Saccharomyces cerevisiae S288C: one gene and its partners. The main gene of each other region encodes a partner of the protein of the gene in region 4 in a complex. Each region holds a gene or a part of one and is shown on either strand. Other genes may lie near its edges. The genes, in order: MRPL39, MRPL36, MRPL9 and MRPL51.

The links.
Region 1: MRPL51 (region 4) and MRPL39 share a complex: the UniProt entries of both Saccharomyces cerevisiae proteins name them as parts of the mitochondrial large ribosomal subunit.
Region 2: MRPL51 (region 4) and MRPL36 share a complex: the UniProt entries of both Saccharomyces cerevisiae proteins name them as parts of the mitochondrial large ribosomal subunit.
Region 3: MRPL51 (region 4) and MRPL9 share a complex: the UniProt entries of both Saccharomyces cerevisiae proteins name them as parts of the mitochondrial large ribosomal subunit.

Annotation. Positions count from the first base shown.
Region 1 is NC_001145.3:250,741-253,208, forward strand, and holds MRPL39 (mitochondrial 54S ribosomal protein bL33m MRPL39), read right to left. Parts: upstream 777-2,468; coding exon 564-776; downstream 1-563. Other genes in the region: transcription elongation factor SPT5, read left to right, coding at 1-128; ERG6 (sterol 24-C-methyltransferase), read right to left, coding at 1,099-2,250; MIN4 (Min4p), read right to left, coding at 2,422-2,468. UniProt on the Saccharomyces cerevisiae protein: Component of the mitochondrial ribosome (mitoribosome), a dedicated translation machinery responsible for the synthesis of mitochondrial genome-encoded proteins, including at least some of the essential transmembrane subunits of the mitochondrial respiratory chain.
Region 2 is NC_001134.8:483,389-486,184, forward strand, and holds MRPL36 (mitochondrial 54S ribosomal protein bL31m MRPL36), read right to left. Parts: upstream 1,116-2,796; coding exon 582-1,115; downstream 1-581. Other genes in the region: transcription factor TFIIIC subunit TFC1, read right to left, coding at 1,354-2,796. UniProt on the Saccharomyces cerevisiae protein: Component of the mitochondrial ribosome (mitoribosome), a dedicated translation machinery responsible for the synthesis of mitochondrial genome-encoded proteins, including at least some of the essential transmembrane subunits of the mitochondrial respiratory chain.
Region 3 is NC_001139.9:935,565-938,895, forward strand, and holds MRPL9 (mitochondrial 54S ribosomal protein uL3m MRPL9), read right to left. Parts: upstream 1,320-3,331; coding exon 510-1,319; downstream 1-509. Other genes in the region: exportin CRM1, read left to right, coding at 1-231; TOS2 (Tos2p), read right to left, coding at 1,560-3,331. UniProt on the Saccharomyces cerevisiae protein: Component of the mitochondrial ribosome (mitoribosome), a dedicated translation machinery responsible for the synthesis of mitochondrial genome-encoded proteins, including at least some of the essential transmembrane subunits of the mitochondrial respiratory chain.
Region 4 is NC_001148.4:728,145-730,731, reverse strand, and holds MRPL51 (mitochondrial 54S ribosomal protein mL43 MRPL51), read right to left. Parts: upstream 942-2,587; coding exon 519-941; downstream 1-518. Other genes in the region: SNT309 (Snt309p), read right to left, coding at 1-240; YPR099C (uncharacterized protein), read left to right, coding at 619-975; TMH18 (Tmh18p), read left to right, coding at 1,204-1,250, 1,347-1,785; LEC1 (Lec1p), read right to left, coding at 2,117-2,587. UniProt on the Saccharomyces cerevisiae protein: Component of the mitochondrial ribosome (mitoribosome), a dedicated translation machinery responsible for the synthesis of mitochondrial genome-encoded proteins, including at least some of the essential transmembrane subunits of the mitochondrial respiratory chain.

The DNA of each region.
Region 1 (2,468 bases), on a different chromosome or scaffold from region 4:
ATAATAAAAGTACAAGAGATGGCGGAGCTTCTGCATGGGGTAACCAAGACGATGGAAATAGGTCTGCTTGGAACAACCAAGGAAATAAGTCAAACTATGGTGGTAACAGTACATGGGGAGGTCATTAATCACCAAAAGGAGAACCAATATCACCCAAGAAGAAATCAATAAAAAAGACTTTAATATTACCACGTTAATAAGAATAGTTATGAAGATTTCGATGTTTCGATGAAATACTGAATCTCGATCTTTTTTTTTCATTTATGCTTGCATTTGTATGTCACGAGTTTTCCTTGATTCTAACTTTTACATATACGTATGTATGTATGTATGCATATGTGTTTTTGCATATCTAAATGAAATATCAACTTTATTATGAGGGAGTTGATTATTGTAATGTAATTTTATATAACTTCTTTTTCGTTAGCGGAATTTCTTTCCGTTTGAATCGTATACAAAATGTATGTATCCATTACTTATTTACAGGATAAATGAAAAAAAATGCGTAACGTCTGCGTATTCGATGGGCTTACATGCCGGGGCTCGTGCTTATTCATATTTCTTCACTTGGCTGTACGCAAGAAATCCAATGGCTTTCTTTCTGCCACTTTCCTTTTCTTTGCTTCTTTGAAAAGCACATGCCGTTTCACCACAGGATCGTATCTGACCTGAGTAACCAAAGGTGCACCTTTCTTAATCGAGATGTAACGAGAGTATCCACTTGCCGCTGTAGACAATAGCTTTATAACACTATTCTTAGATTTCACTTTTACCATATCGGCACATAAATATGGAAACAGTTACGATGTTGTATTCTTACTATCTTCCGCTGTAGGGGAGCAGTCAATACGTTTGTATGCAGTGAATTATAGTTTTTTCTTATTCTGATAGAAAATACTGGTCGTTTGCCACGACATGATGAAAAAAAAAAAAGCCGAACTTGAAAATCACAAGTGGGATAAATTGTGGGGTAGTAAAGGCATCGGACAGTCTGTTTGTAAGGCCTGCTAGCAATGAACGTGCTATCTTTTTATCTGCATATATAGGAAAATAGGTATATATCGTGCGCTTTATTTGAATCTTATTGATCTAGTGAATTTATTGAGTTGCTTCTTGGGAAGTTTGGGAGGGGGTTTCGGCGTTTTCTGGCTTCCTAGCGACGAAAAGCATCATTGGAGTGAATAACTTGGACTTACCACCGGCAACTAAACCAACCGCAGCATTTTCTAGAGCAGCAGTAACTTCCTTGGAACCTTCTGGGGCTAGACCTAATTTTTCCATTACAGTAACCATTGCTGTAGTAAATTGTCTACCCAAGTAAGAAGTTCTGAAAAATGTGGCCAAATTAGCTAAGTTTTGAACGTACTTCCACTCACCAGTTAATGGGTAATACCAAGGGATTTCATCATCATTGTCCGCCAGGTCTTCGCTAACGAGGACTTCGAAACCACAGTTCTTCAATGCTTTCCTAGCCACGTCGACATGGAACATCTTTGGGATACCATCACCTAGTTCAATTTCATAAGCGATCTTTCTATGTTCAGGATTGTTTTCGTCATATTTATCAGTCATTACCCATTCGTAAACAGCAAAGGTACCACCCGGTTTCAAAACCTTGTAGATTTCGCTGTATACACCTTCTAATTTTGGAGCGTGACATGTGGCCTCAATTGCATAAACTTTGTCGAAAGTGTTTTCTTCGAAATCCATTTTCATGAAATCACCCTTTACAAAGTCCATTTGGTCACTCAAATTGTATTTTTTAGCGTAATATTTTGCCTTGGCAATTTGGTAATCGTTATTGTTTAGACCGATGACGTTACAACCGGTAAATCTTGCAATCTCTCTTGCTGGGCCCCCAACACCACAACCAACGTCGAGAACTAAATCGCCTCTTTGAATACCAGCCTTGTAAGCTAAATAATGTTCATGTCTTGCTATCGAGGCAGCGAAACTCTCACCTTTATAAAATCTGCTGAAATGGAAAGAGGAACCCCAACCATATTCATAGAAATCTGTAACGACGTTATAGTAGGAATGTGTGGCTTCATTATAATCCTCAAGACGACGTTCTTCGGCATCTTTATCGGTTCTACCATCCCAATTTCTCAAGTACTTCTGAACGGCTTCCTTTTGGGCAGAGTTGTTCTTCGACATCAATGCACTCAAACCTGTCTTTTTACCAATATCATCACCATGTAACTCCCTAGTGAATTGGGCCTGTCTTTTTCTCAATTCTGTTTCACTCATCTTATGCTGCCTACTATATTATTATTTTATTCTTGTTTTTTTAAATTATGTAAAACTTAAATCGAAAGTAAAACAGATAAGGGAAACTTGAATGAAAATTAACAGCTTATAAATTACAAAGACGAATGGAAAGAAAAAGAGAGCAGCAGAGGATAGGAGAAAACACCCGAACTATATAAAAAGCAATGAAGAAGTTATCGGCAACAGCAAGTATTGGA
Region 2 (2,796 bases), on a different chromosome or scaffold from region 4:
TTTAACAATCTGAGAGTAAAATCGTCTACTGATATTGAAGAACGACAATTTTTCTTGAAAATCAACACGAATGCAAAAAGGGAAACTAAAATAAAAGAAATCCTCAAAAGTAATTGAACAGATTTCGAGTCCTAATTGCAAGTAAAATTATGTATACAAAGTACGTGATAAGTATCGCAGCAGTGATTCAACACTCGAGAAGAGTAAAAATTTTCAATTTTTTTCCACTGCGCTGAAATATTACGAGGCGTAGAAAATGATCACTACAATGCCGTTGCTGCTTATTGCAGCGTAAGTGAGCTTCATTCACAGACCATTTGCCTCGATAATCCATGAATCATATCTGGTTCATATTATGTTTGTAAATGTGTGTCTTGTTGCACTTAATCTATCGCGATAGCGCCAAACCAAGCGTTCGCAGAATCTTCGTTGTCAATATATACATATGTAGACGTATGTGTATATGTTGCGGTATATACAAGGCTGTTTATGTAGTCTTCAAACAGATGCGATTGAGATCTATGTCCCAAAAGGAATATAAATTGGTTCGAGAATAGAAAAGTAAGGGGAGCAAACACTATTCACTTCTTGTCTCTCTTCTTACTGGCCAACTTACCTGATTTGATCTGTTGTTCACTATCGTCTAACAGAGATAGATAGTCATCCATACCGAACGCTTTTTCAGAAACGTCTTCCTTCTCCTCCTTTTTAATCTGTGTTTTCTTTTTATTTTCTTCAGATAGTTCAACTGTTTCAGAGCTTGAATTTGGGGTCGTTGAATCGACAGAAAACAAAGAGCTATACCTCTTGTTAAATCTGTCCAAGCTACCACCAGAATTAGCATCCACAACGACTAGGTCATCCCTGCTAGGATTCCACAGCGGATTATTTCTCTGGTCTTGAATTAATCTAATTTCACCCTTTGGATATTGGGATCTCCGGATAACTACACTTCCATCACTCAACTCCATTTTGACATTGAATTGGTGATAAATAGCCGGTCGTGACTTCCCCAGTTGAATTTTTTTTGCAGGCCTTCTTGGCAAAGTAATTCTTGTAGAACCAGGATATGACCCTGTGGAAGCAAATCGCTTCGCAAATATAGACTTCAACATTAGGAGTGAACAAAACGTGTGTTCGTTTGCGTTGGTACCCGTTCTTTCTGGAGGCATTCTTAACTTTTAGGAATAATAATGATACCCTTTCATTTTAGTTATTTGATTTTGATGCATTTTGCACGAGATAATCGCTCTTTACGGTTTGGGGACAAAACTCAGAAATATCACATACGTAGTTATGGTTTTATTGCACATTTGGCATATTTTGATATTGAAATAAAAGAAAACCTACTTATTACAGATCGACTTCATCAACAAATCCCTTGAGCTCGCTTTTCATTGTTTCCGCGGTTTTAGGATCTAGTTTAGCTATTTTATTTATGATATCTTGGAAGCTCGCTGTTTTAACATCAAAACTTTCTTGTTCTTCTTCATCTGCATCAACGTCATCCACGTCATCGTCTATACTTGCAGGCACCTTCAAGTTCTGATCAGTGTCCATCTCTTCATTTTCCAAAGCAGCGTCGTCTGGCTCTTCAGTTATGGCGCCATTATCATCAAAATCATCACCAGCAGCGATACCCTTATCCTCCTCTATGGCATTTGAGGACATTTGACTACCTGCATCCATATTTATGTCCCCATCAGCATCTTTATTGGTGTTAACACCCATTCCCTCTTCTGAGTTCTTGTTTTCGGGTACCATGGATTCTTTAACAAATAACATTGTCTTGAAATACTTCAACTTGTATTTATTATACTCATAATTTCCTTGAACCATGCAACCAAGTTCGTATTTTACTATCCTTCTTATCTTGACCAAGTCTAATTCTTTGAACCATCCAGTTAGTTCATTCGCCTTATCTAAATATTCGACGTTGTGAAAAACTTCTGCAATGTTTGGCTCACCAATTAATAAATCAATCTGCAACATCAGGTACCACGGTATTCTTTTTCCATCAAATTTGAACCTGCTGTCAATACCGCCTGGAGTGTCTGATTCGAATACCAGGGGTGGTGGCTTTGGTACATTCTTTTTCACTATGGGAGAAGATAGTAATTTCCTTTCAATCTTAAAATATTCTGTTTGATATTGGGCGTATTCCACTGAACTTCTGGGGTCTATACCAAATTTGATATATGTATTTCTCCAAGGCCCCATTGTGAAACGATAAGATATGAGTGCCAGCGCTATCTTCATAGTATGGTGTATCTTCTTCGGGACAATCCCATCAAGATGTCTTTTAACCCAAATTGGACGTCTAGCGAAGAGCTCTCTCAAAATTTTCAAGCATTCCTCCAGCGATTCATAAAATTTAGAGTCACTTTTAGTGCCTGGATAGACTTTTGTTTTCTTCGCGACCTCAAAATCGTACAGGACTTGTTCATGAGCTTGGGACGGTATAACTGTCTTATCACTAAGATCATGAACAAACAACTGATAGTTTTTGATATATGTTCCCTTCACTTCTGTGACACCGTTTTTTTTTTTTTTCGCAAATGGATTAGCTTTATATTTATAAAGCAGGGGGAAACCAACCATTGATAACTTAGGAGGTGGCGGCAGTTGGAAATCTGTACTCGGAATTTTAACGCTACGGTCTAAGATCAAATTCCCGATGTTTTCCTGAGGTTGAGAGTCATTATCTGGTACAGAATTGACAAAACTTTTGAAATTATTCCATTCCAGAGAGCCAAAGCTACTTTTGAACTCTCTTGCAGAGGGGACATTATCCAG
Region 3 (3,331 bases), on a different chromosome or scaffold from region 4:
GAACAAATCGCAAGTTTTCTCTCTGCATTAACTAAACAATACAAAGACTTAGTGGTCTTCAAAGGCACTTTGAGGGACTTTTTGGTGCAAATCAAAGAAGTCGGAGGTGATCCAACAGATTATTTGTTTGCTGAAGATAAAGAGAATGCATTAATGGAACAGAATAGACTAGAGAGGGAAAAAGCTGCCAAGATTGGTGGGTTATTAAAACCTTCCGAACTTGATGATTAGAGGCGGTGGCGTATCATTCTTTAAATTTCCAATATTTTTTCCCTTTTATTAACTAGTCTCTAATTTATAACCACGGGGTTTTCATTTCTTTTTCACTTCATATTGTATGTAAATTGGTTCTTCAAAGTTCCAATACTCTAATATAGTACTAAATACTATTTAGCCAACTTCATGGAAAAGTAAAGAATATTATTTGAAGATTCTTAAGTGATTACCCATTTTATTGTTATTATTGATGTATGTACATGATTGTAGTAAAATACTTATACGCCTTATGCTCAAGTTTTTTTGATTGCATCTTGAATTTTAACGAAACTGTTTTTGGGCCCAGCCACAGAGCCTTTAACCCAAATAACATTATTTTCATCGTCGACTTTCAAAACTTTAACATTTTGGATAGTAACATGCTCGTTTCCCATATGACCAGGCATCTTTCTTCCTGGCAGTACCCTACCTGGGTCTTGGTTTTGACCATAAGAACCACCGTGTCTATGCATAATAGATGTACCATGAGATGCTCTCAAACCCTTGAATCCATACCTTTTCATCACACCAGTAAAACCTTTGCCTTTGCTGACTGATCTGACGTCAACATATTGGCCTTCTTTGAAAAAAGAGGGTTTCAATAATGTGCCAGGTGGTATTAATCCCTTTTCATCTTTAACTCGGAATTCGGCCACATGCTCTTTTGGGTTAACAACTTTAGAAGCGAAATGACCAAGCATTTGTCTGCTAACTTTAGACAAATGCCTTGATCCGTACCCTACTTGACACGCGAAGTACCCATTGACCTCCGAAGTTCTATGCATTATTACTTCAACATTATTAACTTCTAATATAGTAGCGGCGCTTCTTTCACCAGTAGATTTATCAAAATAAGGCATCATTCCCTTCTTACGAGTAATTAAACCGCATCTTTTTGGTAGCCATTTTCTCGCATTTGCCAGTTCAGGTGAGTGATTAATCGCTGGAGCCTCGGTTGTTATACTGTTAGCAATACTAGGAGCCACTAGAAAAGGCCGAGTAGAAGAATATCTAACATGAAGTTTTGATATGCTAAATATTGATCCCTGTAGGAACTTCGACATGGCTATATTTGTTCTCTCTTGCTTTCAAAGAGTTGCCCTTTCTCGTCCCAGTTGTCAATTTATCGTCCATATATTTTTCAATAAAGTTCGTTTGACAAGGGATTACCCGAAAACAAATATCTCGCGACTGTAATAGGAGAAATGGCATTAGCATTTCAATTAAGGAAAGAAGAGGATCATCGAGAAACGAATTTATGGTGCTTATTTACTGTTACAACATTTCATGATTTTGAATTTTATTTATACATGTACATTCTCGTACGGTGTTATTTCGTAATTATGGGATGTGCCCAGTTGCTTCCTTAAGTCTTCCGTAGAAGCTTTAAAAGGTAAGATTTCCCCCACACTAGGAGGCTGCAAGATGTCAGTGTCATCCAATAACCCACTAACACGGAAATTTATTGCATTTGACAACGTTGACGGCGGTTGTGATAAAGAAGATGATGTTGTAGTGGATGAGTTACCAGGGAGATATTGGGCCTTTATTAAATTTCTTAAAGATCCTGCAGGCTTATAGCGAGGTTTCATAGAAAGTTCTGATGGGTTGGTCATAACAACACTTTGTCTAAGCTGATATGGAAGGGGCGTACAAAATTGCTTTGTCAAAGATGTTGACGGTATTTTCGTAGGCGAACTGTAAAACATTTCAGGATGATCCATTGGATTCAACGCTGTCCCATTAAGCCTAGCTGTAGGTACATGTTTTAGTGTTTTTGGAGGTTTAGGCCTTCCTTTGAATGACGTCAAGGAATGCGAAGAGGTGGAATAAATGAATTGGGTAGGCGTGGGCAAATCTCCGATGTTCTCATAATTTTGAGGATGTTCTAACGGGAGGGGATAATTATAGTAGTAATTGTCATCATTGCTCTGGTTGCAGTGATCTATAAAATATGTAGAATATTGCTGAGCAGAAGTAAGATTTGACTGACCCGAACCCTCCGAAAGGGCCCGTACGGGAGCCTTTGCAGAGTGAATATGGTCCTTAGCGACCGTGTCAGAATATATTGATGAGGTAATTCTCGTTGAAAGACCATTCGGTGGTGGGAATGTAAGAGATAGAGACGATTCGGGAATCACTTTTTCTCTGGTTGCTACTTCTGAATATACTGACGATGCAATGTTTTTATTCTCTTGTGGTGCCGGCACTTGCAGATAATCAGTTGCATCTTCATATTCCTCATTGGCGCTGGAACTGGAATCAATTTCTTGGACAGTTGTACTTCCGAAGTGACTCTGTTCAATTAATGTAGTATCATTTGGATTGTCTTGAGAGCTCATATTTACACTTTTTCTTGTAGCGATGTTTAATTTAGAGTCACGCCGTATCGAAGAAGTTACAGAGGATCGTATCGTGCTATTACTTTTCTCAAAATAAATGTTATAAATGCTTCTTATTCTGTCAATATTTTCTTCCTCCTCTCTCGAACACTGAGGCTCGAGCCCGCTACGACTCGTATAATTCGATTTAAGTCGATTATCGTTGTTATGGCTGGACTTTTCATTTACATCAGGATTTGACGTACTATCACATCTTTGATCACAGTCTTGCCCAGTATTTGAGTGTTGTGGTGAAACAATCAGCTCAGAATTCTCTAACGATTCGAAAGAAATCTTATTCGAAAGGTCAATGTGCTTGGAGGGGACCGATAACTTGCTGTTATTCTGCGAAGCCAGTGAAGCAATATTATAAGCGGAGGGTGCATGCTCATTGATACGCCTCACATAATCTTTGAAAGATTGTGAGTTTTCGATTGACGGTTGCAAAAAATCGTCATAACCACCATAAATAAACCTCTTTTCTGTGGCATTGCTGTCTGAGTTTGCAGAATTCATAGAAGAATCCATCTTCGGTAAATAGTATAAATCGCCCTCAAAATTTGGGTCAAAATCCTGCATAGAAGGTTCTTTTTTGCATCTCCTATATACTACTATTAAAACGACGGATAGTACTATAATAATAGCACCAATGGGAACAGCAACGGCCACTGCAACAGTGACGTTAGATGAATCGG
Region 4 (2,587 bases):
ATTAAAATCCGGTGTTCGCCTTTTTTTGTTATTACGTTGTTTCAAGTATTCGGTGTACAATGCATTTGTAAGCGTAGAAACACTATTATCGGCCCCCTTTCTCTTCGCAAGTATACCTCGTATTTCGGGATGAACAGGCTCTCTTTTTATATTCGCAAATTCCTTCTTTACTAATTGATCTATTTCATTTTTGTAACCATCTGGTATTTTCCCTTTATCAACAAAGCTAAGGCCGTCCATCAAATCTAAACGTTGAATACCGTACGGTTGCTCTTTCAGATATCCTAGAAGTTACATCTTTTATATGTTTCAGTCTTATTCCATATTTATTAGACTAGTGTGATTTGCAGGGTGTAAAGCGGGTAACCAAATACAAGAGGTCATATTTCAGGACATGATCATATAACAATGGCAAAATTGACTTTAAATCTTAAATATCAGGAGTCTTATCTGCCCCAAATTATATATACAAGTATAATTATCTCTCTCTATTTCTAGAATTTTCTTATATACTAAAGCTAAATTCTATGCCTTTTCGCAGCATGCAGAGGCGACCATATACCCCTCACACTACTGTTCAAGCTTTCCACGTTATCATTCTTTGTTCTTCTGCGTAAAATGTCTCCATCAGAATCCTTCAATAGCTTTAGCTTGTTTTCTACATTGTCAATGTTCAAGTTTCTCACACAAATAACTTTTTCACGCCCATTTGTGTATTCTGCCCTCAACAAAGGATGTCCAGACTTCCTCATCACTTCAAACTGTATCCATGGGAACTCCTGGCCCCATTTATCTAATCTCTTTGAAGTCAAAAATTTCCTCATGCCTTCCGAAGACCCTCCCCAGTTACAGAATTGCAAAGTAATCTTTCTGCATGGAAACACGAATGCTCCAACTCCATTACGACCTATGGAATTTCGTGCAATAGCTTTCACAACCATTTCTCCATATATTCGTGTCTGTGTATCTACTTAGTCATGGTTTATGATAATCGTATTGATTGATCTTTTTTATCTCAGGGCTTATGATTTGTTGTAATTCTTATGAGCATCCCTCATCCGAAAAAGACGGAAAGCACCGTAACGTATAGTGCGATAAACTTACAGAAAAGAATAGTATTATTTAAGGGAGTTAAATGGAGTTGTTTGATGATATAGGCAGATCAAACTACGCTTTACAGTCCAGTAAACTTAACAACGAAAAATGTGTTTAGTCAAAACTACGGCTCATTTGCTTTTTTATTCCTTTGTGTATGTACAGATTAAGACACAAGAAAAAATTTGAACAATTATGATTAATTGAGAATAACTGACTAACAACTTTTATGTACCAACTTAATCTTTCAGATTTGGAGGAACGACGTTTTATTCCTATGTAGCTTCTCCAATCGCATTCAAAGTTCTTGAAAAAGACCAATTTTCTGCTTTGCAAAATAAGATCTTCCCGTATTTTTTCCAAATGCAAGCGGCATCACCTGTCATCCTGGCCCTTACCGCTCCAATTGCCTTGACAACAGGACCATTATCTTCTTTGGTGGTTGCATCTGTCAGTGGGCTAACCAATTTGTTTTGGTTGTTGCCCTGGACCCATAAAGTTAAAGAACAAAGAAAGAATATTGCGAAGAAATACACGGGTAGTGAATTGGAAGCAAAGGATGCTATATTACGTAAAGAATTTGGCAAGTCGCACGGATTGAGTCTTTTGTTCAATCTTTCTAATGTTTGCGGGATGCTTGCGTACGGTGTTTGTTTGTCAGGTGGTTTGTTAAGAAAAATTCCAAAATAATTATTTTACAAGTAAATATATATATGCAAGATCATTTTTTCGTCATTCCTTTGCCAAGGTGGAGATGAAGTTCGCAATCGGAATTTTTTGACCCTCAATTAAAGAATAAGGGACTCAGTTCTCTGCTATCCTGATCTTGGCTAAAAATAACTAAAAGGGGAATTGTGCTGTTTGTAGGATCTTAAAATAAAAGAGAACAATATTTATCTTGAAGTTTTTTCTATTTTTTTATTTCTACAAGCTTTTCTTATATATAGACCTAGCAATCCTATATTATTAAGCCGGAAAATCGTAACGAATAAAAACGAATAAAGGAGATACTAGAAAGGGCCTACTTTTTAGCAATTTGAGCTTCTAAATAATTTTTTAATTCCTGTGCGAAAACTTGAGATCTCAATTTATCAATTTCACTTTCATCAACAACAAGATTCAATAAATCTTTGTATTGCTTTTCTAATTCAACTTCATTCTCTTTATGTAAAAAATCGTAATCACCTGTATCGAGATCCAAATCCACCAAATCACCATCTCCAAGTCCAAAAGATCCAGAGCTGGATGGCATAACCAAGGAGTTTATGTCACTCCAATTCTTTTGAAGTATGCCAGCAGCGTGTTTGTTATTTTGTTTAGTACCTTGTTTAACCTTCAAATCTAACAACTTCTTATAGATTTTTCTCGCACCAATCTTTTTATTAAGAACATTATTAACTTGAACTTTCAAAAGTTTGACATCAATATCGATATCATCTCTACAAATTAACTTATTGAAGTCGATCCTTTCACTCGGTCCTCCGAATTTACT